Canis lupus familiaris: one gene and its partners. The protein of the gene in region 7 interacts with the protein of the main gene of each other region in a biochemical or structural test. Links are inferred from orthologs where the notes say so. Each region holds a gene or a part of one and is shown on either strand. Other genes may lie near its edges. The genes, in order: JUNB, LRRK1, NDFIP1, UBE2G1, NUMB, MLANA and ITCH.

Evidence for each region.
Region 1: the proteins of ITCH (region 7) and JUNB form a complex in vitro, tested with the Homo sapiens proteins (2 studies listed by BioGRID, with this or other methods). The link is inferred for Canis lupus familiaris from reciprocal best matches to the Homo sapiens genes ITCH and JUNB.
Region 2: the proteins of ITCH (region 7) and LRRK1 form a complex in vitro, tested with the Homo sapiens proteins (2 studies listed by BioGRID and IntAct, with this or other methods). The link is inferred for Canis lupus familiaris from reciprocal best matches to the Homo sapiens genes ITCH and LRRK1.
Region 3: the proteins of ITCH (region 7) and NDFIP1 form a complex in vitro, tested with the Homo sapiens proteins (2 studies listed by BioGRID). The link is inferred for Canis lupus familiaris from reciprocal best matches to the Homo sapiens genes ITCH and NDFIP1.
Region 4: the proteins of ITCH (region 7) and UBE2G1 form a complex in vitro, tested with the Homo sapiens proteins (2 studies listed by BioGRID). The link is inferred for Canis lupus familiaris from reciprocal best matches to the Homo sapiens genes ITCH and UBE2G1.
Region 5: the proteins of ITCH (region 7) and NUMB form a complex in vitro, tested with the Homo sapiens proteins (3 studies listed by BioGRID). The link is inferred for Canis lupus familiaris from reciprocal best matches to the Homo sapiens genes ITCH and NUMB.
Region 6: the proteins of ITCH (region 7) and MLANA form a complex in vitro, tested with the Homo sapiens proteins (2 studies listed by BioGRID and IntAct, with this or other methods). The link is inferred for Canis lupus familiaris from reciprocal best matches to the Homo sapiens genes ITCH and MLANA.

The regions. Positions count from the first base shown.
Region 1 is NC_049241.1:49,756,909-49,760,614, forward strand, and holds JUNB (transcription factor jun-B), read right to left. Parts: upstream 2,338-3,706; 5' UTR 2,042-2,337; coding exon 998-2,041; 3' UTR 501-997; downstream 1-500. UniProt on the Homo sapiens protein: Transcription factor involved in regulating gene activity following the primary growth factor response. Binds to the DNA sequence 5'-TGA[GC]TCA-3'.
Region 2 is NC_049224.1:40,487,969-40,491,952, forward strand, and holds the start of LRRK1 (leucine-rich repeat serine/threonine-protein kinase 1), read right to left. Parts: upstream 2,801-3,984; 5' UTR 2,784-2,800; intron 1-2,783.
Region 3 is NC_049223.1:36,160,820-36,164,942, reverse strand, and holds the start of NDFIP1 (NEDD4 family-interacting protein 1), read right to left. Parts: upstream 2,801-4,123; 5' UTR 2,613-2,800; coding exon 2,550-2,612; intron 1-2,549. UniProt on the Homo sapiens protein: Activates HECT domain-containing E3 ubiquitin-protein ligases, including NEDD4 and ITCH, and consequently modulates the stability of their targets. As a result, controls many cellular processes.
Region 4 is NC_049226.1:30,544,610-30,548,109, forward strand, and holds part of UBE2G1 (ubiquitin-conjugating enzyme E2 G1), read right to left. Parts: intron 2,477-3,500; coding exon 2,298-2,476; intron 1-2,297. UniProt on the Homo sapiens protein: Accepts ubiquitin from the E1 complex and catalyzes its covalent attachment to other proteins. In vitro catalyzes 'Lys-48'-, as well as 'Lys-63'-linked polyubiquitination. May be involved in degradation of muscle-specific proteins.
Region 5 is NC_049229.1:47,083,581-47,087,650, forward strand, and holds the start of NUMB (protein numb homolog), read right to left. Parts: upstream 2,801-4,070; 5' UTR 2,687-2,800; intron 2,522-2,686; exon of another isoform or gene 2,377-2,521; intron 1-2,376. UniProt on the Homo sapiens protein: Regulates clathrin-mediated receptor endocytosis. Plays a role in the process of neurogenesis.
Region 6 is NC_049232.1:26,953,216-26,957,453, reverse strand, and holds the start of MLANA (melanoma antigen recognized by T-cells 1), read right to left. Parts: upstream 2,801-4,238; coding exon 2,724-2,800; intron 1-2,723. UniProt on the Homo sapiens protein: Involved in melanosome biogenesis by ensuring the stability of GPR143. Plays a vital role in the expression, stability, trafficking, and processing of melanocyte protein PMEL, which is critical to the formation of stage II melanosomes.
Region 7 is NC_049245.1:23,988,833-23,992,949, reverse strand, and holds the start of ITCH (E3 ubiquitin-protein ligase Itchy homolog), read right to left. Parts: upstream 2,801-4,117; 5' UTR 2,677-2,800; intron 1-2,676. UniProt on the Homo sapiens protein: Acts as an Acts as an E3 ubiquitin-protein ligase which accepts ubiquitin from an E2 ubiquitin-conjugating enzyme in the form of a thioester and then directly transfers the ubiquitin to targeted substrates.

The DNA of each region.
Region 1 (3,706 bases), on a different chromosome or scaffold from region 7:
CCACCGCGGACGCTCTGGACCCAGGCCTGGGGCTTTCCGGGCCCCGGCAGCCGCCTGCCTGGGAAAATCCCGGCCCCCTTCCCGGCGCCGCAGCCCTGCCCGGCAGAGCGGGGGAGGGGATTCCCGGAATCTGCCCGGAGACCGCCGGCGCGTCACTGGACAGAATCGGCCCATGTAGGGGCAGCGCTTCCGCTGCGTCAGCGGGGAAAGCCCCAGCGCGCGCAGCTGGGCGGGGCTGCGCCCGCGCACTGCGCGTCTCGCCCCAGGCCTCCTGCCCCCTGGTGATGGGCGGCTGGACCGCGTACCCGCCCTGGCCCTTCCAACCCCGGGGAGGAGGGGGCCAGAGAAGGGTCCGCCGCCCGCACTAGGGCTGCAAGATGCTTAGGTAGAGCTGGCGAGGAGGACACGGACACTGGCGCGAGTCACAAGCAGGAGTGGGGTGGGGGCAGCCCACTATTCTCCTCCCTCCTCCCGCCCGGCTTGGAAAAAAAGACAACAAATTAATAAAGAACCATTTTTTTTTTTACTTAAATAGATTCAATAAAAAGTCGGAACAACAAACACACACACACACAAACACATCTTAAAATAAACTCTTTAGGGACCGAGTGCGTGTTTCTTATCCACAGTACGATGCAGAGGGGGGAGGGCAGGGGGCGGGGGTCCCTTCCCCAGTGTCCCCGCGGGCTTGAGTACCGGGCGGCGGGGCCAGCTCCGCCGCGATCGCCCCCTCCTCCCCTCCCTGTTAAATACACAAATATATTATATTCAATATGAATCGAGTCTGTTTCCAGCAGAAAAAAAAAAAACATACAAAAAAACGCGAAAGGGGGGCTTGTAAACGTCGAAGTGGAAGGACTGGACGCAGAGCGGGCGGGCAGGAGTCCAGTGTGGTTTGCGGTGCCCCGGGGGCCGGTGCCCACCGCCTGCCCCCTCGCCCCTTGGGAGGCGTGCGCCCAGTCGTCCAGACTGGGGGAATGTCCGTATGGGGGGGCGTTCAGAAGGCGTGTCCCTTGACCCCGAGCAGCAGCTGGCAGCCGTTGCTGACGTGGGTCATGACCTTCTGTTTGAGCTGGGCCACCTGCTCCCGGAGGAGCCCAGCAGTGCTCGACAGCCCCGCGTTCTCGGCCTTGAGTGTCTTCACCTTGTCCTCCAGGCGCGCGATGCGCTCCAGCTTCCGCTTCCGGCACTTGGTGGCCGCCAGCCGGTTCCGCAGCCTCTTGCGCTCCACTTTGATGCGCTCCTGGTCTTCCATATTGATGGGGGACACCGGTGGCGTGGCGTCGCGGCTGCGCGCCTCAGGCACGGTCTGCGGTTCCTCCTTGAAGGTGGAGGCTCCTCGGCCCAGGCCCAGTTGCGCCGGGTGGCCGCCAGCGAAGGGTGGCGCGTGTGGGAGGTAGCTGATGGTGGCCGTCGGGTACGAGCTCCCAGTCCCGACGGCGGCCCCGGCGCCTCCAGAGGGCGCAGAGGCTGGGGAATAGCTGTTGAGGTTGGTGTAGACTGGAGGTGGCTCCGGGCCGGCGTAGACGCCCCCGGGCCCAGCCGGGGGCCCCGAGCTGGCGCCCAGGGACACGTTGGGGGGCGTCACGTGGTTCATCTTGTGCAGGTCGTCCAGCGCTTTGACAAAGCCGTCTGCGAAGCCCTCCTGCTCCTCGGTGACACCGCCCCCGGCGCCCCCCGCACCTCCGCCGCTGCCTCCCCCGCGGGGGTAAAAGTACTGTCCCGGGGGCGTGGGTGTCGTCGTGATCACTCCGTTGCTGTTGGGGACGATCAGGCGCTCCAGCTCCGATGAGGCAAGCTTGAGCGACGCGCCTGTGTCCGAACCCTGGCCGGAAAAGTAGCTGCTGCCACCGCTGCCCTCTGGTCCCGGGCCCCGCGCCCCGGGGGCTTTGAGACTTCGGTAGGGGTCGGCCAGGTTGAGCGCCAGGCTGGGTTTCAGGAGTTTGTAGTCGTGTAGAGAAAGGCCGCCCGGAGCCCGGCCGTATCCCGCCGCTGCGTATGAGTCGTCGTGGTAGAAGGGCTGTTCCATTTTAGTGCACATCCGGGCGGCCCAGGCGGTCTGGGGGGGTCCCTGCGGGGCCGCCCCGGGCCTCGCTGCGGCGAGCGGCGCCCTGTCCGCGACGGTGGCTGGACTGGGTATCTGGACGCGCGTTCCCAGGAGCTGGCACCGGCCGGGAGAGGCCAGCCGGCGGCGGTGCGCGGAAGCTCCGTGCGGCTTCTCGAGCCCTTCGGCCCCTGTCCGGCGCGCTCGCTTTCCTGGTGTCGCTTCCCCCTGCTCCCCGCTCCCTGCTGACTCCGGTGCTGGCCTGGCCGCGCTCAAGGTCCCGGCAGCTCAGGCTGAGCCACACGCCTTTATACGGCTATTGTCAGCTACGGAAGTGCGCTCCGATTGGCCGTCGCGCGAGCCGGGCCCCCGCGCCCCCCTCCTCCAGCGTGGGGAAGGGGAGGAGGCGGCTCGCGTCACTGTCAGGAAGCGCGTGTCCTTGTAAACAGCGGCCACGGGCTGGGTGGCTCGGCGCGGCTGCAGGGGGAGGGGCTCAGGGGACCCCGGGGTGCGCGAAGGAAGGGGTGCTGGTCCGAGATACACGGGGAGGGACTCCAGGGAAGGCACTGATTCCCCTGGATGCGAGGAACTGTTACAAAGCAAGTGTGTGTGTGTGTGTGTGTGTGTGCGTGCGTGCGCGTGTGCGTGTTGGGGCGGAGGGCGGGGGTGGTCTCCAGGGTGTACACAAAAGGCCTGAGGGACTCGGAGTATTCGAGGGGGGTTGAAGGGCTGATTATATACACAGGGAGACCCCACAAAGGTGAGACAGGAGGATCAACCAGAGTAAATGAGAGAGGGGTAAGGTAATGTGTGGGGGTCCTGAGTACAGAGGGGTTAAAGGACTTGAATTTTAATAGAGGGACTGAACCCAGGAAAAGTGAGGGGGGGATCAAAAGGGCAAAAGGAGGGGATGGAGGATCCATTATGCAAAAAATGAGTAGGGGTCCTGAAGTCCATGGGAGAGACTGAGGGCCTCCATAAGGGGAATCTAGTTATGTAGAAAGTGAGGGCTCCGGGGTATACCGAGTCTGGGAAATTATGGGGGGGGGGACCCTGTCAGAGGTTGGGAGTCACTGGGGTCATCTGCAAAGCCCTGATGAAGGAGAGTTAAGAGTCCGGACACACTTTCAGAGCCGAGATGATAATGACACAGGGTCTCCAGCTGAGACATGAGAGGAGGGGTTTTTGAGGATCCTGGGGATTTGGACTGCTGGATCTTCCATGACTGGCCACCCCTTCTTGTGGGTGCTTTCTAGGCGCCAGTATACTTTGCTCCCATCTCCAAGCCCTCCCCCCGTGACCCGGGGCTTGACCGACACCGTGCCGACTCAGGGTGCTGAACCTACCCCGACGGCCCGGGCGCGGTCGCCCAACCCCACTCCTTCCTTAGAAACAGGCTGGGGAAAGAGCGCCGCGGCAGGAAGTGTGGCAACAGCCCCGGGGGAAGGAGCCCGGCCCTGCCTCCGTCACTCGGATCCTACGGGACCGTGCGCCCCGCCCTGGGTCCGGTTGGGTTCTGCGCCTCAGAAGAGGAACGTGGACGTGCGACCCTGGCGGAGGCCAGGGTGCGCAGAACACGCCCAGCCGCATAGGCCTCTAGTCTCCCTCTCCCAGCAATGGTTCAGCCCGCAGCACCCGCAGGCGACCGCGGAGGCAGGCGGT
Region 2 (3,984 bases), on a different chromosome or scaffold from region 7:
TCTGCTTTCAAACGTCTTAAAATCAGCTACCACATCTACCCAGTACCACCTCAAAAAATCCAAATGCTAGTAGACTTGCCTTCTGAAAACAGAAGTGTCTTACCATAGAGTGCTTTTAAGTTTTTTTTTTTTTTTTAAATCTTTAAAATATTTTAGGCCAACCCTCGGCCAGCACATTTTGTTCCCCTTTTCATTTTCAGTTTCCTTTTGAAAATCTCTTTACCGATGGAGGATTTTACCACTGGCACAGTTTTTCAACTGTAATTTGTATGTTGGCTTAGACTCTAAGGTAGAAGGTTTAAAATGAGGTAACTCAACTTTTGCTCAATCTTTGCCCTCAAACGGATCTTTGCTTCTTCCTGCTTCTTTTGGGCTCAGACCAATGCAACAAATCATGGTTGTAAGTTACATGTCTTCCTTTCATTGTGGTGCATACAGCCTTAAGAGGACTTCAAGAGGTTTTCTGTAATAATTTTAATACTTTTTAAAACCTCACCAATTTTTCATTGCTCCTTATACGTGCAGTAATGAATAAAACTGAATGCTTAATCAAAAAGAGAAAAGGGGAAGCTGACATTCATCCCGCAAATGTTTTTATTGGGCCCTTTCTATGAGGAGTGAACTCCATGTGTTCATGAAACTTAAAGCTGGTGGGAAGGCACAGTTAAGTAAGTGCTTGCCACAAAATTTCTGACTGAGGAGAAATAGAGGAGACCCTGGACCTGCTTACTTGTCTTTTCAGGAGGCTTGGAAAGGATTGTCAGTACCAAAGAGCTAGAAGACACTTGCAAATGAGCACGTCAGCTCAGATAATCCAGTAATTCTTTTTAGTGAAAGCATGGTAGAGATGGTTGGCCCATAGTCCTTGACAATCCTTTGGCACTACTAGCCTCCTCTGACCACATACCGGCTTGCCTACAGAATGTGTGTAATGGATTCATGGACTTCAAAATATCAAGGGGCTGCGGACCAGAGAAATGTGTAGATCTCAGTCCTAGATGAACACCCAAAGGTCTGGGAACAGAAGCCCTTCATGAGTCTGAAACCACAAACAAGTTAAGACTGTCCATTCGCCATTCAATCTGTATGCCAGGGTGTACTGGGCACCTCTCAGACAGTTCTGGGCGTGAAGACGCAGCAGTGAGCCATGCTGGTGCCTAGGAATGGTCTCTGACCCCTGGAGCTCCAGGAGAGTGCCAGGCAATTAAAGAAGAGAGCAAATAGATGAAGAGGGACCATAATACCAGTGGAGACTGCAAAAGACAGCAAGGGTGGGGGGGGGGCGGATGTGAGAAAGAGGCTGGGCTTACAGGGGGTGGCTGGCAGTATGAGGAGTCAGGGGTCAGCATGTAGAGGCCATATGCTGAAGAGCCAGCTGGACCATGGTGGCTGGTGGGGTGGGGTGGGGTAGAGGGTGGCATGAGCAATGGCCAGGTGGTTGATGATGCCAGACTCCATATCAACTGAGGGGAAGGAGGTGTCCTGGGTTTCATGCCAATCACAAGGAGAAATTATGGCAGGGTTCTAAGCAGAGGATTGACACATTCTGATTTACCTATTAAAAAAAAACACACGCACAGACTCTCTGGCTGTCACATAAAGAATTGGAGAGGGGAGGATTGTAATCACGCAGGAAACAAATGCTGGTACCTTGGACTAAGGTGGAGACAATGAGAAAGAAAGGTTGGACTCAGCCAGACACATAGGTAAGCCCAACAGAACTTGCTGATGGTTCACAGAATTCAAGGGATGAGGGTATGGGATAGAGGAAAGGCGAACAAGTGAGCTGACTATGGGCTCATTCCCTGACCCCAAAACCTCCTTTAGGGACAAATCAGATGTGAGATTTTTGTTTTTAATTTTTTTTTTTTAATTCTTCAGGGACGGAAGCAAAGATAATTAGAGTCAAATCACAAAAAGCATTTCATGTTAATGTCGTCCCAAATGGCACCTCTTCTAGTTGTCCCTTTAATGTCTGGGTACTTTGTTACCAAGTTGAGGGGCCGGCACCCTCTAGAAAGAGTGTATTCACTGAGAGCCTTGCTGAAGCCTTCGCCACAGGCTGCTGTTTTCTCTGCCTCTCCGACCCCTGCTGATGTGTTCCGGGAGAAAGCTTCCAGGCCTCCAAACGGGCAGGGGCAGGTTGAGCGGGCCAGAGGTCCCCACGCTCTCCCTCGCCACCTCCCCCGGCCCCCCACCTAACCGGGCTCCCCTCTTGGCCCCTTCGCGGACCTGTCGCGTGTCTGCGGAGGAGGGTGGCGGAGACGGCGGATTCCCCCGCAGCGGCGGGAGCGCAGGAGCCCGGCCAGCCCCAGCCCCAGCCCCAGCCCCAGCCCCAGCCCCAGCCCCAGCCCGGCGGGAGGTGCGGGCGCTGCTCCCCGGCACACACGCACGCACACTCGCCCGCACGCTGCGCGCTCGCGCTCACACCCGGCTCACACCCGGCTCACACCCGGCCCGCGCCGGCCCGAAGCAAGGAGCCTTCTCCAGGGGCGGAGGAGACCGTGGTCGCCCGGCCGCGGCTCGGCCTCACTGGTGCTTCTCGCGCCTTCTCCCGGCCGCGGCCCGCGCGGGGTTTCGGGGTGGCCCTCCGGGGCCCGCCGCCTCCCCCACTCCGCGGGGCCGGGGCCGGGGCCGGGGCCGGGGCCTGGGGTCCCCCGCGCCCTCGGTGCCCCCCTCCCCGGGCCACCTGGGCGGAGCACGCGGCCGTCCGGGCGCCGAGGGGGCTGCGGGGGTCCCGGGCGGGGCGGGGCGCGGCGCGGCGCGGGCGGACGGGCGCTTACCTGCGGCGGCGGCGGCGGCGGGGGCGGGCCGGGGCGGCGGGGCGTGGGCCGGGGCCGGGGCCGGGGCCGGGGCGCCGGGGACGCGGGGCTGGGCGCGCGGACCGAGGCCTGGCCGTCCCCTGCCCTCCGCCCCCTGCGCCTCCGGCCGCGCGCGCGGGGGCCGGGCCGGGCCCAGACGCACTTCCTCAATCCTGCGGCCCGCGGGCTGGCGGGGAGCGAGCGCGGGCGAGGGGGGGCTGGCGCGGCGCTGCCGGCGAGCTGCACGCGGGCGCCTCAGTTTCCCCAGCCGGAACGCGGAGGTGCCCCGACGCCGCGCCCCGGAGGCCCGTGAGCCCTCGCAGCGCGCGGACCCCGCCGGGTCTGGGGGCCCTGCCTTCTCCTGTCGGGGCGGGCGCAGCCGCAAGATTGGTCGGTTCTCTGCTCAACGCAGCGTCGTCCACCGTCCCCGGGCTCCGGAGCAAAACCCAAGGGCTAACCTCGGACTTGTATGGGTTAGGCAGGGCCTCGCAGTGACTGTACTCTGACCTACACCTCTGTGCAGGGCAGGATAGAAATAGGTATTTTCTAGCTTTAGAGTTTGGCAAACGGTGCCCCTTCCGTCACAAGAATTTAATTGGGGCTGAATATAGAAAGATGTCACTGTTGGGTGAATCATTTTAAATTCTGCGGGGAGTAGATAAAACATGCTGGAATGTTGGCCATTTATTATGTCTCGACCCGATATGTATGTTCATCACCCGACGGAGACCATTATCCGACGGCATCACAGAGACGCAGGGACGTGCAGCAGGCATCAGACCTGGCTCCGCGTGCCAACCACAGGAAGACAAGCCGGCCCAGTAAGAAGCAGATGGTTCCACAGCCCGGCAGGACCCGCAGCCTAGGCTAGACCTCTCCTGCGCTGCGACTGGAAGGCTCCTGGGACTTTAGCGCAAGTCAGAGACTCGCCACCACCCTCACTGCCATTTCACAAACGCCAGGCAGACGCAGGGCCCCCGCACGACCTCAAGGACACTCTGAGCAGTGGCCCCTTGGCAAGGGCACCACGGGGCAGCTTCGCTTTGCTCCCAAGAGGCTGCGCCTTTAGCTCGCCGGCCACGGAACGCCCTTTGCAAAAGGGTGGGTGCGGTTTTGCAATCCTGTCCTCAATATTTTGGTCCTAATTCCAGTATTCAAAAAGCAGCAATGTGATTGCTACCGA
Region 3 (4,123 bases), on a different chromosome or scaffold from region 7:
TAAATAAAAATTTATACTCAGGAAAAGAGATATAGATGTACACAAAAGAAACTTCAGTGAATAAAAAAATTATGAACACACTTAGTGGCCAACAATAGGCAACTGACTTGAACTATGTACAACCAGTTACATGCAATGCAGACATGAAAATACTACCCTATTTTATACATCTATATGCCTCTGTACATACATGTGAACAAATACATGTACATGCAAACTTGTGAATGCACATGTGTCTGAGAACATGACACATATGGGCACAGTGGATGTATAAATGTATACATGTGCACATATGCACAAAATGTGTACAAGTAAAACCAGGGGGCTCGTGGAATGGTACATGTGTACAAAGATGTGCCTGTATATATATCCATGGATACATGAGAAAATATATATGCACATATATATATGCTAATGCACATGCCTATATTTGGAACATGAGCCTGTGTTTTAAGTAGGTGAGTGTGTATTTATCCTTGTAATCACTACTTAGAGGCTGTGACCTTGAGCAAGTTAATGAGCCTCTTGGAGTCTTGACTTTGTCATCTATACAATAATACCAAACCTTGCCTCATGGGAGTTCCATGAGGATTAGGGAAATAATGGATGTAAAGTCCTCAGTACCGTGATTGGCACATAGTAAATGCTCAGTCAATATTAGCTTTCCTTATCTGTACACATGTATACTGATTTATATTTATGTATATTTACATACCTATAAGTCCACAAAGATACACATCAAAATACTAATTTTGGTTACCTATGGGTGATAAATTTTTACTGTGGGTTTTTTTTTTAGGGGGGGTAGCTTTCATATTTTGCAATTTTTCTAGGAAGATTATTTTTTTCATGCTGTTTTTTGGAGGTTATTTCTTCAACATAATGATTTTCAAAAATAAAATAAAGATGACCTGTCCCTGACACACCTCAATTCTGCATATTTAAAGCTGTTAAATATAAATATTACACCAAGGAATACATAGTTTTGATACTCCACCAAATTTTTTGTATTCCAGCAATATGTCAGCATTACCTAATAGCTCAAGAAGATGGCAGTACAAAGAAAAGCCACAGCTTTTTCCTTGTTTGCCTTTTACAAAACAGGATGAAAAGAATGAATTAGATCACAGTGTGGGGTACAAGTGATTTTTGAACACTCTGGTGACAGTTAAGTGACATCTGTCATTTGTATTTTATTAAAGCAGGGAGAAACCCTCACCCAAGGTCATACAAAAAAAAAAAAAAAAAAAGCATGTGCCAGACCACAGGCTGTGAGAGATCTGAGGACTAAACTGCATTGCCACGGTCTGGGCATGTTTATGAAACCAAGAAGCTAAATTCTTAACCAGTCATTTCAGAAGTCCGGCTGGAGGAGGGAGGAAATTACTACACAGGGCTGATGACAGCAAAACAAACTGGTAACTGGCTGCACTGAGTTAATCTAGATGTTTTAATCAGACTGGTTTTCGTTATTTCTGAAATACAAAGCTGTAGATCATCAATGATAGGGCATCTAATTTCATAAAAGCACGACTGATATTTGTATGCAAATTATACCAAGAAACATCTGATAGGACAAAACGCAAACAGTTATCAGCGGTTCCAATCAACACCAGTTCCTACCTGGCTTAATTCCCACAATTAAGATGTGTTAGGTTAAACAGCACTAAAAATCCTGCAGATGGTCTCTGAATTTCCGAGGGGAGCCCAGCTAGTAGAACAAGCAGCTCTTTTCCCTAGGGCCTCAATTTATAAATTATAACCGGGATAATACTCCAATCAATCCCTATACATTTCCTCCCCAGCCATGCTATTAAATCTCCTTAAACGTCATTTCCAAGCTTTTAAAACACACACCCAGGCACACGCCCTGCAGCCTTCAGCGAGCTCACGACGTTCCGGGGCACTGCCCCAGCTAAACAGCGCCTTTCCCAGACCTACTGCAAACTGCAGACTTGCCTCTCGTCTCATTTTTGACTTTTGTCTTAAAACAGAGGCGCGGGGGAGGGGAGGAGGGGGATGGGTTTCGACAAACAGACTAGGCTCTGAAACCCCCCGAGCAATCGCATCTCGTCACGGGGAGCTGTCGGCCGCAGTGGCAGCGATTTTAATCTTTTCTCTCCACCCAGTTTCCTTTTCCATCTCACGCTTCATCGCCTTCTTTCTCTTCTTCCCCATGACATCAAACCAGAGGTGCAGAAAGGGAAACTGCATGCCCCCGCGTGGGCGCCGCCCCGAGGGTCGCGGGCTCCGACTCGGCGGCCCGCCCGCCGCGAGAAGTGCGGGGCGACGCCGCGGGCCGGAGGTTTTCCGCCGCCCGGGTGCCGCCCCGGGTCGCGGAGGGCCGGGCCGGGCCGGGCCGGGCCGGGCCCGCGGCGGCCTCGACTCCGAGCCCGCGGCCCGCCCAGGCCCGCCAAGCCGCGGCGTCGCGTCGGCCACAGGCCGGGCCGGAGACGCCAGAAGTGGCCGGCGGGCAGGGGGGCGGGCCGGGGGCGGCGGGGGCCGGGGGGCCGGGGGCCGGGGGCCGGGCCGGACTCGGCGCTGCTCACCTGCTGGTACCGGCTGCCGCAGGCCGGCTCCACCGCCGCCAGCGCCGCCAACGCCAACGCCATGGCGCAGCCGGCCGCAGAGGAGGAAGGCGGGCGAGCGGGCGAGCGAGCTCTAGGGGCGCGGGCGCTGCGGCCTGGGAGCGCGGGGAGGCCGAGGGGACGCGCCTCGCGTGGGTCTCGGTGGCCGCCGCCGCTTCCAGGCAAGCCGCCCTCCTCGGGTTGTGAGCGCCGCCGCCGCCGAGGCTCCGACGCGGCCCCTGGGGAGGAGGCGGGGACGCCGCCGACGACGCTGCGCCGCCGCCCCGCCCCGCCCCGCCCCGCCCCCGCCGCGCGCCCGGGCCCGGCCTCGGCCTCGCCCCGCCGAGCCGCCGCCCGGGGTGGGGTCCGGCCGGCGTCCCGCGCGCCGAGCTGCGGCCCGAGCGAGCCCCGCGCCTTCCCCGAGCGCTCTCCTCTAGCCCTCCCCACACCGCGACGTGGGGCCGCGGCCCGGCGGAGGAGGCCGTCGGCGCCCGGGGAGGCTGACACCCCGGCACGGCCGCGACCGGGGCTCCCTGGGACCGCTGCACCCGCTCGGTTCTCGTCCAAGCCCCGGCTTGTCTGCCATCGTCCTAGATCAGGGACTGCCAACCGGTCCGGTGGCGGTGGAAAGCAGAAGAAATTCATGTTTCATTGTGCATAAATGAAGTCTTACCGGAGCACAGCCGTTCGTTCCCATGTTGGGTACGGCCAGCAATCCCTAAAATACTTACTCTCTGACCCATTACAGAAGAGTTTCCTGACACTACACCCTCCAGAACTCCTTTAGTAAAGATCTCAAACAAGCACTACTTAGGATGGATGATGATAACAGCATTCTCCTTTTTGTGCAGCCCTTTAGTATTCTAACAGCCTCATCTGTGGATAAGACATGTTATTTCCATGTATGCATGCATGTAAATAAATCCACCCGGCCTGGAGCCCAACTCGGCTTGAACTCACAACCCTGAGATCAAGATCGCAGCTGAAATCAGGAGTTGGGCTCTTAACCCACCGAGCCACCGAGGAGCCAGGACATGATACTTTTCTGAACCAAAAGCTCTCTGAGGAGGTGACATGGAAGGCCAGACTCCAAAGATTCAGCCCTGCTGAGAGCTGAGAACACGTGCAAAGGCTGTGAGGGAGCCACAGGTTGCTTTGCGGAAGGACTGGAAGAGGCAGGCAGGACTGCCCTAGGGGAGATACAATAACCAATGTTTCCCAAAAGAGGAAATTAAGCTTGAAGAAATTAAATATCTTGCCCAAGAACACAGAGCTAGGGAGGGGAAACCTGGAATGTAAACCAATGAAACCAGCATTGTTAACTATTATCGTGCAACTCAATTATAAACTCTGTGAGGAGGAAAGTATGTCTCTCTTAAATATTTTTATATATCCCGCAGCATCCAGCGCAGCATGGCTATACAGCAGGCATGTGAGGTCTGCTGTTTCCTTCTGTCATACCCAGCCACCTGGAATTGCTTCTACCCACATGTCCAACCCAGAAAAACCTGAGTTTTTGAAGCTTGTTGCAATTCCTCTTTCTTCTTGATTGCCTT
Region 4 (3,500 bases), on a different chromosome or scaffold from region 7:
GTGGGGTGGTGCCTGAGTGGCTTGGCTGGTTAGGTGGTCTGCCTTCCCAGGGTCCTGGGAACCAGTTGGGCATTAGGCTCCCTCTCCCGCTGCCCCTCCCCCTGCTTGTGTGCTCTCTCACTCACTCTGTCAAATAAATAATAAATGAGACCTTCAACAACAAAAAAACATCAAATGTACATAGGCTGGGTACTGATCCCCGATTTCAGGCATCTCCTGGGGGGCGGGGGTCTCAGAACATCCTCGTCACCAAGAAGAGGGACTACCGCACAGAAATGAAAAATCGTAAATGCCACACAACATGAAATTCTGAAGGTCAAGAACCTGAAGGGAACAGGGAAAACAGAAAAAGAAAGAAAAGGTCACCCACAAAAGCAAGAAAGTCAGCCATGCATCAGCTTCCTCAGCAGCAGCAATAACACGAAAAGTCCAAATCTGTATAAAGCTGCACTGCACCCCTCCCCAGAATTCTACAAACGCTCCCTTAAATACAACGCAGGATAAAAACCTGTCCAGGGATCCCTGGGTGGCGCAGTGGTTTGGCGCCTGCCTTTGGCCCAGGGCGCGATCCTGGAGACCTGGGATCGAATCCCACATCAGGCTCCTGGTGCATGGAGCCTGCTTCTCCCTCTGCCTATGTCTCTGCCTCTCTCTCTCTCTCTGTGACTATCATAAATAAAAAATTAAAAAAAAAAAAAAAAAAAAAACCTGTCCAGACAAGTAAGGACCCAGGTCTTAGTTCCCACAGAGCCTTTCTGAAATGTGTGGGGCAACAGGACGACGGCCACCAAGGAGGACAAGCCGGACCCAGGAAACAGCAGAGCAGGTAGCAGAAGTCCCAGGACGGCAGCCACGCCCTGTCAGAGCCCAAGGGTGGAGGGGCCAGGAGAGGGTCTCCAGAGAGGATGCGGGTTTCCCGGAACAGGCACCACTGACCAGGAAGTCAGAAGAGCAAACAATAGAACCACAGGAACACACGATGAGGTGTCCAACCAAGAGGGAAAAGCCAACATAAGAGGTAAACGAAACCATGTGCAAGCCAGGACCATCTGTACAGGAGGCAACTAACTGATGAAGTCAGAAGAAGCAGGACAGATGTCGCACAGCCTGTGGTGCACAGATCAGAGTCTCATCTGCAATAGTTCAGCTTTGCACAAAGCTACTCCCATCTTCATGGAAACGTCCATCATCAGGCAAGGATAGCCCCTTCTCAGGAGGCCCCATGGTTCCAGACTCTGCTCTCCTGGGGAGTTTCTAACTTTTCCATTTTCATACTTTCAGGTATTTGCTCTTATTTTATCCTTAATTTTAACCTTTATGAAGATTAAGATACAGCTTGTCAGTTCTGATCTGATTACAGAAAACCAAGCATGCATCAAAGTAAACAAGAATTAGTTCTCTCTCAAAATGACTCCACAGGATTTCTTCTCCCTTCCCACTGCTTCCAGTGCTCGGACTGGCGCTCAGCTAAGTAAAAAGCTAGGAGGCTTTTCTGCCAGTTTTCATTTCAATTTGTTCACTAAGTTCAAAAATTCAAAGGCATAATTTGAAAAGGGTTCATCGATGTAGTTCTTCTACATATAATACAGGCGATCTCACCCAGGTTATTCTATCAGTTTGAAGTAACCCAAGAAGAAAGGCGAATTTAACCTCCTGGCTTTGACAGATGCTCATAAAAGTCCTAAGAATAAGAATTAGAATGAAAGGCTTTTCAAAGGAGAACAGAAGGCTGAGGAAAGAGACTATCCCAGAGCACAAGAGACTAATAAAACATGAACACAAAGAAAATGTAGATTCCCAGGTTCTGGATTTAAAAAAGGCAGGTATGAAGAACAACATTGGAGAAGTGTGACTATGGACCATGTGTGCGTGAGCAGGACTGTACGCTGACAGACCTGTGCTGTGGGAACGAGGAGGTTGCCTCTGTTCTCAGGAGAGGCTGGTGATGTGTTACCAGTGGAGAGTCACGACATCTGTAAAGACTTCTCAAACACTTTAGGGAAAAAAAATGTAAAATCTCCACAATTGGTGAATCTAGGTGAAGAGTGTTTACAGCTATGAAAGATAGTGCCCTTATTCTTAAAAGATGCAGGTTCAAGTATTTAGGGGTAAAGCTTACTTAACGTCTATAACCTATTTTTGTACAGATTCCAGAGAGACATACATGTGTGTGAATAGATCTGCGCGCATGCGCGCGCGCGCGCGCGCACACACACACACACACACACTCACACAGATACTGCAGCCCTCATTGAGGGTGGTTAAAGGGAAGGGAACATTGTGCATGACCAGCTTACCGCAGCATCAACATTAGCAGGTGAGTCTCCGTTAGGGTCTGCCAGCATCGAAATGACACTAATCATGATGGTTTCCACAGTGTGAATTGGGAGCCAGCGTTCCTCTGGCTTTTCATAACCATATTTGTCTTCCCCAGGCTCATGAAGAATGGAAATGCATACATCACCATTTTTATCAACTGCAAAATTAAAGTGTGAGAGTCTGTTTAAAGTATTTACAATACCGTGGTTAAACATAGAAGCAGCTATTTTAGACAGGGCCCTGGCTCCCACAGGTCTGTACAAAACATTCAATATATACAGAAGATGATTTCCAAGATGGAACCTGTTCACCTTTAGGAAGACCACAGATTGTACCCAGCAGGCCCCACTTGTCAGAGCCAACACACACACAAGCAATCTCTTCCGTGTGCAGAGCCCCAAGGTGCCTATACATGCATGGATTTACACACAGGAAATACAAAATGACTCTGCTCTTCGTATCAAGTACAGATCCAAATGCCAGAGCTGAGTCTCTATGTGAGGATTTCCCAGATTCCCCACCAACTTACTGATCTAAAGTGGTGACAGTCAACCATCCAGAGACTTCCCTAAAGAAAATATGAGAAGTAACCTCATCATGTAGTTTTTAAATCACATAAAGGCAAAATCACATTTTCAGGGACAGGAGCATACTCAAATTCAGAAAAGGAACATGTCACATTGCCGATGAAAATTCATCAACGTGAATGACATTCACGAAGCATCTTTTCTGTAAAACTAGGATTTAAAATCCAAGTCACAAACTAATTGTTGATCACAACAAAGGTGAACTTCGAACCCACCAGCTCATTTATATCACACAAATATACCAAAAATTCATGACTAATCTTTTATGGTGAAGTTTTCTCCACTGCAAAATAAAAAAGAAGAAGACGAAAATAAAGTATACTCATTTGGAAAATGTTAGAAAAGACAGGAAAGTTTAAGAATTTTTGGTGTAAGAAGCTTTTCAATCAAATGTCCAAATCCCATAAATAATCAGTGGCAATATGTCTAATTCATCCCTGTTTTTGCACCTGAGGTCTAACAGACTTGTGACAGGTACCACCCTAACAGTTACATTCCATGTCCTGACTTGGGCCCCTGCCTTATTGGTAGAAACTTGGGGGAAGCTGAGCCCGAGTCTGTTCATACCGCTTGTGCCCCAACAAATGCTTCCCC
Region 5 (4,070 bases), on a different chromosome or scaffold from region 7:
TACACAAGTATATCTGATTCCCTTAAAAATGCTTTGATATGTTTTCTATTAGTGTAAGGCCAGGAGAAGCTTTAAATAACTTTCACTCTCTTTAAAAAAAAAAAAAAAAAAAACACTCCTCTGCTTTTCTCCTTTGAAATGTGTCTTATTCGGCTTCTGCTTATTTTCTATACATGAACTGTTCTCAAACCAGTCCATTTCAGCATTAGTTGTTTACAGACAACATGTCTAGTATACTTAGGGGTATTTTTTACAGACAGTGCCTTACAGAAAGGGTAAACAAGAGGGCACAAGTGAAACAAAAGTGTACCACATCTGAGAAACACCACTCAATTTCATCCCCTCTGCCTCAGATTTCCTTAAGTCCTCATACCAAAGATTCTCAATATCTAAAAAGAGGCACAACACAATATGTGATAAGGCAAACATGAGAAACCAAATCAGAAGCTCAAGAAATTTAATAGAACGTATCACCACCAAATTACCAGAAGAAAAATAAAGATATAAATAATAAAGCCAGTCCTAGAAACCCTTACTGAAGGATTATTTCTGTTGCACTGCCTGGCTTAAAACAGTTTTTCAAATTCTTCTGACTGTAAGAAATACATTTTACATAGTGATCTAGTACACACACTTATGAGAAACATTTCCCAAACAATGCTTTTCCTTACCAAGTGCAATTCCATTCTATTTCATCCTATTTTCAATGTGGCAGTAACCCAGTAAATTGATTTTATAAATTACGAAAAAATCACGATCCACAATCTGAAAAACATAGGCTTCACAGTGGGTATGGGTATCCCTTATATTCGGATCATTTTTGCAATGTGCCTCTACTTGTCTCTAGCAGGGTAGACAGATATTTTAAGATTGCTACGTTATTATTGTTTTCATTGAAGCAAGTGGTTTTTAAAGTGTGAGCCTCTGACCAACATAAGCATCACCTGAGATAAATACAAATTCTCAGGATCCACCCCAGACTTACTGAATCAGAAACTCTGGATGCCGCCAGCAGTCTGTAGTTTACCAAGCCCTCCAGGTGATTGTGGTGCAAGCTGAAGTTTGAGAACCACGGCATAAAAGAACCCAGGTCTTTATGCTCTCTATTTAACAATGCAGTCAGTAAGCACAGTGCTCACTCTGTGCCAATCGCTATCCTAAAAGTTCTACAAATATTAACACACGTGGAAAAAAAACAACCCTACGAAATAGGGACTATTATTATACCTATTACACAGAGGAGGAAACTTGTACAGAGAGGTTAAATTGTCCAAGCTAAGTGGCGGAACCAGAATTCAAGTTTCTAATTTGGCCAGGGTACGTCCATCCTTTCATGACGTCCATCTTTTTGATCAAGTCCCCTGTCCTGCCTATTCCCTTAGTTTGAGCTACTTATCCCCCCTTTCTCTTTCAAACTCTCCATCCTGTCAATGTCCTCATTTTCTAATATCATTGGTGTCATCCTAAAAAAAAAAAAAAAAAAAATTTTCCCTAAAGCACTGGAATGCAAGAAGTTACTTAACCCAACTTTTGGGAGCTTTTTCTCTCACATCTTAGTTTTATGAAGGCGAGGTGCCTTCTATTTCTGCAGTCCTGAGAACACACTAACGGCCACACTGTTAGTTTCTCGTAGCCGCTGCTCCGGCCGGTCCCCACGAGACCACCACTCTCACCCTGAACAACTTTCTCACTCCCTCCTACTACGCCCTATATCTACTACGCGCTTCCTACGAGGAAACTGCTTCTCCCCGCCCACCCCTGTGTCATTTTGCTTGACTCCTCTCCAACTGAGACAACTTCCACTCCCCGGCAGACCCCTCACCCTAGTCTCCAATCCGACCTACTCCTCGAGGCTCCCCGGTGGCGCGCGGGTCCTCGGACCCAGGAGCTCCCGGTTCCAGTCTCGGGTCGCCCAGCCCAGCCCAGCGGTGGGGGCAGGGCGCTCCGCTCCACTCCAGCTGTCCAAGGTCTCCACAGGTCCCACCCTCCAGAAACCCGGAGCCCTCCACCTCGGACGGCCGCCTCTCTCAGGAGGGTCCCCGGCCCCACCCCCACCCCCACCCCCGGCCTCTCGCCTCTCGTCGACGCCCCCGCTCGCACTCGTCCCTCAGGGTCCTCCCGAACCCCGGCCGCCCTCGGTCTGACTCCCTTCTCCCTCGGACCCGGGCCACTCCCAGTTTCCCGGCCCCCCAGCTCTCTCCGCTCGGGCCGCTCTTGGGTTTCCCGGGTTTCTCTGCTCCCTGGCACCCAAGCTGCCCTGAGTGTGCATTCCCGGGCTCACCCGGTCTTCGGACCAGGTCGTGGCCGGTCACCCCGGGTCGCCCCCCGCCCCTCCCCCCCGGGACCCCGTCCGCTCCCGTCTCCCAAGGGGCTTACCGCTCCCACAGCGGCCGCCGGTCAGTGCCCCAGACCCAAGCAGCGGGACGTCCCGAGGGACCTGCCGGCCAGAACCGCTTGGGTCCGGCCCCAGCCTATCTTGCCAACGCGAACTCCGCCGCCGGGAACCGGGCCATTCTCCCACCAGCCCAGTCAGCGCGAACTCGCCGCCGCCGCCCTGGCCCCGGCCCGACCCGGCCCACAGTGCAGGCCCCCTTCCTCTCGGCCTCCGCCTCGGGAGCGCCGAACTGGAGTTTCCGGCCCGAGACGGCCCCCACCCAGACCTCAGGCCCGCGTTACCGGCACTCACCTGCCGCTGCCCCCCAACCAACTCCAGCGCCACTGCCTCTACCTCGGCCGCCAGTAGCCACCAAGCGCCACCACCTCCCCCATGACAACAGGCCCGCCCCGTTTCATACTTTCTGTCTCTCCATTGGATAGCGGGGCGGCGGCTTTCTGCTCTGATTGGCTCTTTCCAGCTGTCCGTCATAGCTTCCTCACCGCCCCTTTTCCTGAACCCGGTATTAGCCCCCGTCCGGACCCGGAGCGCCCAGTACCAAGGTTTAGTTGTTATTGGCTGATGGCTGGGCAGTTCGAAGTCATGATAGGCTGCCAAAAGTGTCTGTTAAGTCAACTGGCAAGGGATGCGATGGCTTTGGTTGGTTCAAGCTCGGGTACAGTTTGGTTGCGCAGTAGAAAGCAAGGAAGGGGCAGACGCTCACGGCCGAGGTTACCCGGGAAGGGTTAACTCTTTGTTGTAGAGTTCACTCTATGTACCCATCCCTTTCTCCAGTTCCCTCCCTGTAAGGAGAAATTGATCCCTGCTAGTTTATAGGGTAGTACTTAGAAAATACCAGCATCAGAGATTGTATTTAAGGAGTGTTTTCCAACTCCTTGGAGAAAAGCACTTGTACAGATAAAAATCTCTTCTCAAAGTCCCAATTTGCACCCAGTTTCCTTGAAGTTCTTTCCAGAAGTCTCCATGCTAAAGGGCAAAGCACGAACATTTATTTAGCAGGAATCAGACACTTCTGTGGCAATTGTAACGTCGTTAATAAACTGAAGTGGCATGTTGAGCGTTCTCTAGCTTCCAGACTCACCCCTGGCTGGCTCCTGCCAAGTGACCCAAGCAGCCATCAGCAAGTTTGAACTAAACCAGCCGCATTTAGCCTTGTGATGCTCTGGAAATGAGAATTTGGTTACCCCCACCTTCTCCCAACTTGATTTTTATGTTCAGCAGTTCTTAAATAGCCCTACTAGATGTGTGTCAGATACTTGAAAAGCTTGTCTTTTTTTTTTTTTTTTTTCTCCCAACCTCTCCTCTTCCTAGCAATCTAAATTAGGACCATTGAATGAATTGCAGCCCTTTTCTTACATTGGCACAATGCACAAGAATAAATGATTGCATTTTTTATTTATTTGGGTACAAGTCACAGTATGCATTTTTGAGAAATCTGGTGTAGCTATAAAAACTCTTGCGCTCCTAGAAATACATCCATCGTTAGATTTTGGTTTTCTTTTTCATTTCCACCCACTTTTCCTGTTCTTAAACAACAAAACGCTGGCCTGATTTGTCTTTAAATTTCTAAGTCACATTTATTTTTTTTAATGTGTCTGTATTTGGCTTTTATTTTTTTATTTTTTATTTTTATTATTTATTTATTCAGAGAGAGAGAGAGGGGCAGAGACACAGG
Region 6 (4,238 bases), on a different chromosome or scaffold from region 7:
ATGGGGATACCAGAGCCCAGCCCAGCTAGGGTATCCCAGGACATCTGACTCATGTTTACATTCAGCTAGGCAAGCTCCTATCTGGCCTCTGCTTGCTCAAGGAATCCAGTTCAGGATGACCAAGGACCAAACCAGTTGGGTCAGTCCTTGCTCCTTACTCTGTTATCACCTAAGTGATCTGGAAAAGACATTTCAGAATGGAGCTAGAGATAGAACTCTGGGGATGCTGAGACAAGAGGCCTGATCTCTCCAGCCTGCTTGGCTGCCATGTCAGAGACCCCAGCTGACATTTGAAGTCAGAGATTGCAGATATTAGGTAAGCACCTCCCAACTAGCCAGGCATGGATTATTAAAAGATAGAGCATTGGGACTCAATCATGGGGAGAAGTGTCTGAGCTGAACCTACAGCAAAGTTGTAGCATCACTGAAACTGTTCTGCTCCTCAGCAGCAGGAGCAATCTGGGCATCTAAACAAGCCTTTTGAGCCCTGTGTCCAGTGGCCCCTGGGAAAGATTAGTTACTGCAACGGCCCTGGAAACAGGTCTGAAAGCTGTGCTTTCCCTGTATAACAATTAGCTAACATCTGCCTGATTTTCTACATCACATGATCAGAGTGGAAAGTGCTGTGACTTGCTAAAAAAGGGTTCTGCAGAGCTGGGTGATATAAGAGATTGAGCAGCTGAGGGTGAATCAAAATATAGCTGAGGGTTCTCCTGGAGAGATCTTTGTCCTGTACCAACTACCTGACCACCTCCTTCTCAAGGCAGCTGAGGCATCAAGTCTATCCTGTCCATCTCTAAACCAGTTGGGTGACAGTGCTGGATAAAAACTCTGACCTAATTATGCAGGTCAGTCCACCCACTTTGTGGATCATGAAGCTGAGACCTACCGAGACTCATCAACATCACCACCACCTTAGCAGCTACTCTGTCCTTCATTGAGCACTGATTTGTGCCAAGCATTGTGCCAAGCACCCCACATATAGGCTTTTATTTCATCATCACAATAATCCTGTGAGGTAGATACGATGTTCATGTCACAGCGGGTATCCCCATAATTTTAAACTGGTAAAATGCCCAATGATGCACAAGTGGTAAGTGGCAGAACCAGAATTCACAGTGACTGGCCTAAGATACCCAACCAGTGCCTTTCCTGCCATATCGCCCTTTCCTGATATGAAGCTGTCACAAGGAGCATTCAGTGGGCTCTTGTGACTGAAGGCAGCTGATTCAATTCCTGGCATGCTTGTGCTCCAATTTCACCCACCAAGGCTGTGGTTATCCCCTTGGATATCCTAACACAGACAGAGCTCTGTTCCAGTTCCTTATGCACAGTCACATTGCATTCACACACACACACTCAGTGATTGATAGATTAGAAAACATCAGGATATGCCAGACACACCAAAATAATGCAGTTTGCAGCTGGGCAGGACTCTCTAGAGTGTCACCAAATGCCTCCTGTAGCAGAGTCACCTGAGGTGGATGTTAAAGTGCAAACTCTGAGCCCCACCAAATCAGCCTCTCTGGCAGAAATACCTGGGAAACTGCATTTTACAAAACCTCCATGAGTGACGCATGCCCTCTCACTTCTTACTAAAGTTTTACAGAGATACAGCTTGTTGAATTATCATACAGAAACTGAAACAACATCCTACTTAATATCATGTGTACTCTAAACATACCCCCAAAAATACATTTTTTACTCTTGGGATATTTTTTCAGAAAATCTCCCCATTCCCAACTGACCATGCAGGGATGTTAGAAAATCCCACTGGCATCTTCTGAGGAAATGCTCCCAGCCTAAACTCTTCCTCAGTGACTTTAATGAGTTCCACATCTTACTTGCCCTTGCTAGTTCACTCTAGTAAAGATTTTTCAATAGTTCCTTCCCCAAGGGAGAGCAAATTTGCAGGAATTTCTGACTAGATCACTTAAGACATGGTCCAAATAAAAACCCGGTACCTTATTTGTCCTGTTGGAGTCTTCATTCAGAAGGTGAAACCCAATCTAGAGCACCATACTCTTGTGTACTCTAGTACATGCAGAATGTGTCCCAGCAGCCTGTCCTACCACTACAGCACTTACGCTTGCCAAAATTATTCTTGAGCCCAATTCTCCACTACACTGTAAAATTTTTTCACAGATAAGTATAGCATCTTAGACTGACTATACATTGCTTAGCACTTAGAAATGCTGAATCCTATAAATATTTATTTTAAATTAATTCATACTTTTAAACACCTTTCCTTAGAATAAAACTATGATGCAGAAATAATAAGCAGGGTCAGAGTGCAGTTGCACATACCTGCCCTTCATTCTTACTAGCTCTTTGGCAACTCACCTTTGTTCTATCCACAGGCCACCTCCAGGAGCCCGAGTGGAGGAGACAGAACAAGGCTTGAGGAAAGAGTCACCTTGCTCCCAGACAGATGTTTTCCAGCTGGGAACCTACAGTGAAAGCCAAATAACCAAGAATACAGACCCCCCAAAAATGCCAAGATCCAACTTCTTATCATTCCTATCTCCTAGCCTGTATGGCCTCAGAAAAGCTTGAGTGAGCCCCTTGTAGGACATGGGGTCCCATCACCTCATTGACAGGGTTTTAATCTCTGGAGAAATGAACACTAGAGAGATTTACTGACAGACATACGCTTGTGGAAATCAGCAGGCTGTCTGCAAATGGCAAACTGGAAACCCCACTGGATCCAATTTTGAACTTACTCTTCAGCTGTGATGTAGGAGTGGTTATGCCCCTTCTTGGGATAACCAAGGATGAAGTGAGCCTCTTCTCTTGGCATCTTGTGGGATAAGGCCACAGAACACCTAATAGCAAAGTCAAACAGGCATCATTTAACACATTCAGAACATCCTCGCACAGCATTCCATAAATATCTACAAAAAACTCTCTCCAGGTTAACATTAATGATAGCTGGGACCCTCTGGTTTCTCTCTGTGAGAGAATTTGTACCTGCTTATTTCATTGATATCCAGTGGAAATTGCTCAGGTTTCTAACTGCTTCCACCAACTGAAAATTGAGTTCAAAGAAGAAACTACAAACAAAAGCAAAAACTTTGAAATTGAGTTATTATTTGGGGGGGAGGAATGCTCTTCATTTCCTATCAATTTACTCTATACCATAAGCTTATAGAGAAACAAAATACATTCTTTAAAGATGACATTTTATTATTTTTATTATTTTTATTATTTTTATTTTTTTAGAGAGGTGAGAGGAGAGAGGGAGAGGGAGAGCGAGAATTTTAAGCAGGCTCCATGCTGCATGTGAGGCTTCATCTCACCACCCTGAGATCATGACCTGAGCTGAAATCAAGAGTCAGATGCTTAACAACTTAGTCATCCACACACCTCCACAAAAGGCATTTGTATTCATTCCTTACTTTCACTGGCAGAAGACTGGTTAATAAAAGGAGTTATTTCTCTCCAAACGTATTAATTTGATGTCAATCTGTGGTCAAATAGACGGTTATGATCCCATATGAGTATGTAGCTGAGCACAGCATCCTCCAAGTCCACCTTCTAACAAAGGAAATGCCTGGGCTTGTCCATGTTCACCCTGCCCAAACCAAGATAAGGACTCCCATAACCTGACTTTGTCTATTTGTTTCCCTCCCGCTAAAATAAATTTCTGCTTCTCCTTCATTCAAGTCTCATGAATAGGGCTTAAATATGTATGTATGTGTATCATACACAGAATATACATAATATGGAATATATATAATACAAAGTTTAAAACCATAATACAAACAAATAGACAAAAAGCTCATGAACTGCAGAGGTCATGATTAAAGAGTACTGGTTGAAAACCAACAGCGATTTTTCTTCTCTCAATGTCATTGTGCATTTTTCTTCTCTCTTATTCTTATGATTTTCAAAGATCTGATAATAGAATTATATTAATGAGCCTGTTTAAAACAATAGGAGAGAAGTGGAAGAACAGAGTGGGGCATTTGCCACACGAACCCTTTCTATTGGGGCATTTTCTGTGTAAATTTTCATTCTTTATTGTAAAAAAGAAATTATAGTTGAACTCACTGATCATCTCAGGTGAATGATGTAGGGGTGAGACCTATGTTCAAAATTACAGCTACTAAACCCAATTCTGCATTAAATTGTTTTTGTAAATATATGTAAACCTCTGCAAACAGTGTAGGGACAACAAATGTACCTCATCCCAAACCAAGAAAAGCAATCTTTCAAGTGAATACACAAGCAGAATC
Region 7 (4,117 bases):
ATTATTTACTGCTTAGGATTTTTTTTTTTATAAGCAAACAGAAAACTAATAGGTTGGACTAGTCTAATTATGGCATATACCTGGCATATATATCACCTAGGAGATGACAGTGTCCACAGGAAGTATCAGGCACTTATCAATCATAACTTACTTTCCCAGAGAGCACATATGACCAAAATCCTTCTCAATACAGTGCTTTTGGCAGCTACTTCAAAGCAGAATTGATTAACCAAAATATATTTGCCACTGTGGACTAGATTATCTCTTCCAAAATTCTAATACCAAGTTCCTGAGTACAAGAGAAAAACACTTCCAACAGGCTTAGATCAGTAGTGTTGAAAGTCATAAATTTCAGTGTAATCTCCAAGTTCTCCTCCAAATGCAACCAATTTAGTTCTAATTTTCCAAAAGTACTAATGAACAATATATTTTGATACCATTAATATATATAACCTGGTAATATTGTTCAGATTTGCTAATGGGTTCTTTTTACAGAACAAGAGCCTTTTTACCCAGTCTGGCCCCAAAAAGTCTCATCCAAAAATATGGCAACAATATTGCACTAGTAAAGAACTAAATCTAATCCCTTGAGCATCCCCACAGCCTCTCTCCAACATTAAGTCCTTTCACCTCTCACCTAGACCTCTGCAATAGCCACTCTTCCACCCTTTCACTCTCATCACCAGAGCCATTTTTCTACAACACACGTCACTCATATCACTTCCCTGTCTAAATTCTGAATCTACTAACATAAAACTCCAGTTTTTAGCATTATAACTTTTCAGTTACCTCCTTTTACCTTTCTGACCTCACATCCTACAATGCTCTCCTTCCCCATCCCACTCCCTGTTCCCTGAACCCTTTTTCTCCCACTATCTTCTGCATTTACATACAGCACTGTCCTTCCCTTACCCCATCCTTATCACATTCCCACTCATCATCTAAGGCCAAACTTAGGACAGGAGCAGGTCCTGCCACCTTCAACAGCCAAACCCCAGACAGAACTGGCCAATTCTGTCTCAAGCTTCTCAGTAGATTCACAGTATTGTTTGCCTCAGTGGTTCCCAAAACCAAGAGAGCTGCCTGAGGCATGTTTTAAAAATAAATTCTTCAGGGCAAAAGCAGACCTACTAAATTGATGTCAGAAAAGGAGACCCTGGAATTTCTACTTTTAAAAAGCTCCCCTAACTATTCTAATGTGCAATTTGAGGAACTACTGGTTTGTCTATCTTTTTCAATAGGCGAACAGATGGGTTTTTTTTGTTTTTTGTTTTTTGTTTTTGTTTTGTTTTGTTTTAGAATTCAGAAATGATTCCCTCTGGAATACTGTGAAAACGTATTCTGCACTCATTTTTTATTTCATGTCCTTTTTGACTTGATTCATATACTGACCATGAAGGAATTCCTTCTGGACTCACACCCAAAAACCTTACATTCTGTTGATAACTGTACCCCGAGTAAATCTATGAATAAATACATAGTGCAGGCTTCCAGCATAGCTGCCATGAGAACTTTATTTCAGCTGAGAAATCCTTAGCTGATTTTGAGGGTTAGTATCCGCTGCCTTTACATACTTCCCTAAAATCGATTAAGAAAAGATGCGGGAGACCCCCCAACTAAGTGCAATGATAAGTGACTGGCTCCAGTGCCTCAATAATTTCCAAAGGGCAAAAAAATCCCACTTTTCCTTCCCCAACCCTCACTCCCAAAAAAGTATACTGAAGCTGTAGAATTATGGCAGAAAATGTAACAAGACTAACATGCGCATATAACCGAGAAAAGCTGAGTTGTTATTGGGGAATCGTGAATTTCGGGTAGTTTGCACGTTCACCTTGTTACATCTTTAACTTTAGGCCCAACGTCCACCTTGAGCGCACAGACCCTGTGTTTCTCTGTAAGCCGTGGCCCGAGACTGTGTCTGAAAACTTGAGTTCCCCCACTAAGTCGTGTCCTCATCACGTTCTCACCCTTAGAATACGTTCACGACTACTTTTTTTTCTTTTCTCTGCCAAAGAAAAGGGCACTCAAGAGGGAGGGCAGTGACAGCTCCACGTCTGCAAAACTCGGCGCCGGGAGGTGCCCGCGGGGCCGCGGCAGCAGGCGCGGAAAAGGGCGCCTGGGCCGGGACCACCACGATGGGGGACAATGGAGGGAGGAGGGGAGTGTAAGAAAGAGAAGGCAGCCGCTACGCTGGGCCTGCCTCGTGACTGGGGGCTCCAAAAAGTCTCGGGAAGGCCAGCCGAGTGGCAGGTGGGCCCGGCCGCCGCCCCTCACAGGGCCACGTCGGCCGCTCCGGCCGCTGCCGCCGGGCCCCGCGCGTAGGCCGGGCCGCGGGAGAGTGGCCCCCGGGCGGGGCTGAGGGGCGCGGGGCCGGCCCCAGCTGGCGCCCAACGCGGCCCAGCCCTCTCACAACTTGGCGCCCGCGAGGCGAGGGGCTCCCCACGCCTCGGTCAAAAAGTGGCTCCTCGGCGTCTCCGGCCAACCCACCCCTCGGCCACTAGCCCGAGCTCCCCGCGCCCCCCACGGGCACCGGCTGTGAGAGAGGAGAGAGCAGTCGCGGCTCTAGGGTCCTCTGCCCGCGCGCCGCACTCCTTCACCCCTGGTTCTCCTCCGACACTCTCTTGCGGGCTCCCCCTCCTACCCAGAAGCGCCCCCAGTCCGCCCGCGAATGTTTACCGGGACTCGGGGCGGCGGCGACTCTTCAGTCCCTCGACTAAGATGGCAGCCGGTCCCGAGCCCAGACCACAGCGACTAGAGCGAGTTGGCGGCCAACGCGCAGGCGCCTCCTGCTCGGCAGGGATGTGGACTACAAGCCCCAGAAAGCCTTGCGCGCTGACCGGGAGAATTGGCCGGAGCTGGGCAGCGCAGCTACACCGGAGTTTACTCGCCCTTAGTAGGAGGGACTATGGGATTGCTCGCAGCCACTCTAGGCTTTTTTTTTTTTTTTTTTTTTTTTAAAGTATGCCCACTTCCCCAGAACCTCTAAAGACTGTAGCTGTGGTTCCCAAAAGCTATTGTGCATCAGAAACACCTGAAGGGCTTGTTGACATTTAGGAGAGCCCCACCCCCAGAGTTTCCGTTTCAGCAGATCTGGGATGAGATCTAGTAATTTGCATTTCTAACTCGGCTGTGCTTCTGGTGGGGGAATCACACTTTCAGAAACACTGGATTATAGTTTAGTCCTTAAGAAAGTAACGCTGGGGAGTTAAATTGATGGGGTTCAAATCCACCTTTTAACAAAGTACGCTTAAGGATGATGAGAATAGCCTACATGTAAGTGGTGCCAATCTGGCAGGTATTGGAAGAGCTGATCAATAAGCTTCTTTAATCCTCACAACAAATCTATAAGGAAACTACCTCCATTATCCTCACTTTACAGATGGGTAAACCAAGTCACAAGCTGGATAGGAACCCAGGCAGTTTGACTTCAGAGTCCATCCTCTTCTTTATGGGTTGTTTGTGAGAATTAATAGGCTGTGCAAGTAAATTCAGAGGCCCAGATAAGGGCTTCCTAATTAATGACCTTAGCTATTATTGTTTAGCCTGTTTCCTCCTTATGAACATATTTTACCATCTGGAAAGTCACTTGCATTTTTCAAAGTATGTTCAAATCTCAATTCTCAATTCTCAAATTGCATTCCTGCAATATGACTTAAGAGAGCTTATTAATGATGCAGACTTCTGGATCCTAACCCATTCAGAATCTCCAAGGCAGTGGTTCTCAAACTTTAGTGCCCATCAGAATCTCCTAAAGAAGAGCACCTGAGTGGCTTAGTGGTTGCGCATCTACCTTTCGCTCAGGCTGTGATCCCAGGGTCTTGGGATGGAATTCCACATTAGGCTCCCCACAGGGATCCTGTTTGTCTCTCTGCTATGTCTCTGCATCTCTCTGTGTGTCTCTCATGAATAAATAAATATAATCTTTAAAAAAGAGAGAGAAAAAATCTCCTGAAGGATTCATTAAACTGGGCAGTCTGGGTGGCTCAGCAGCTCAGCAGTTTAGGGCCGCCTTCAACCCAGGGCCTGATCCTGGAGACGTGGGATCCAGTCCCATGTTGGGCTCCCTGCGTGAGGCCTGCTTCTCCCTCTGCCTGTGTCTCTGCCTCTGTCTCTCTGT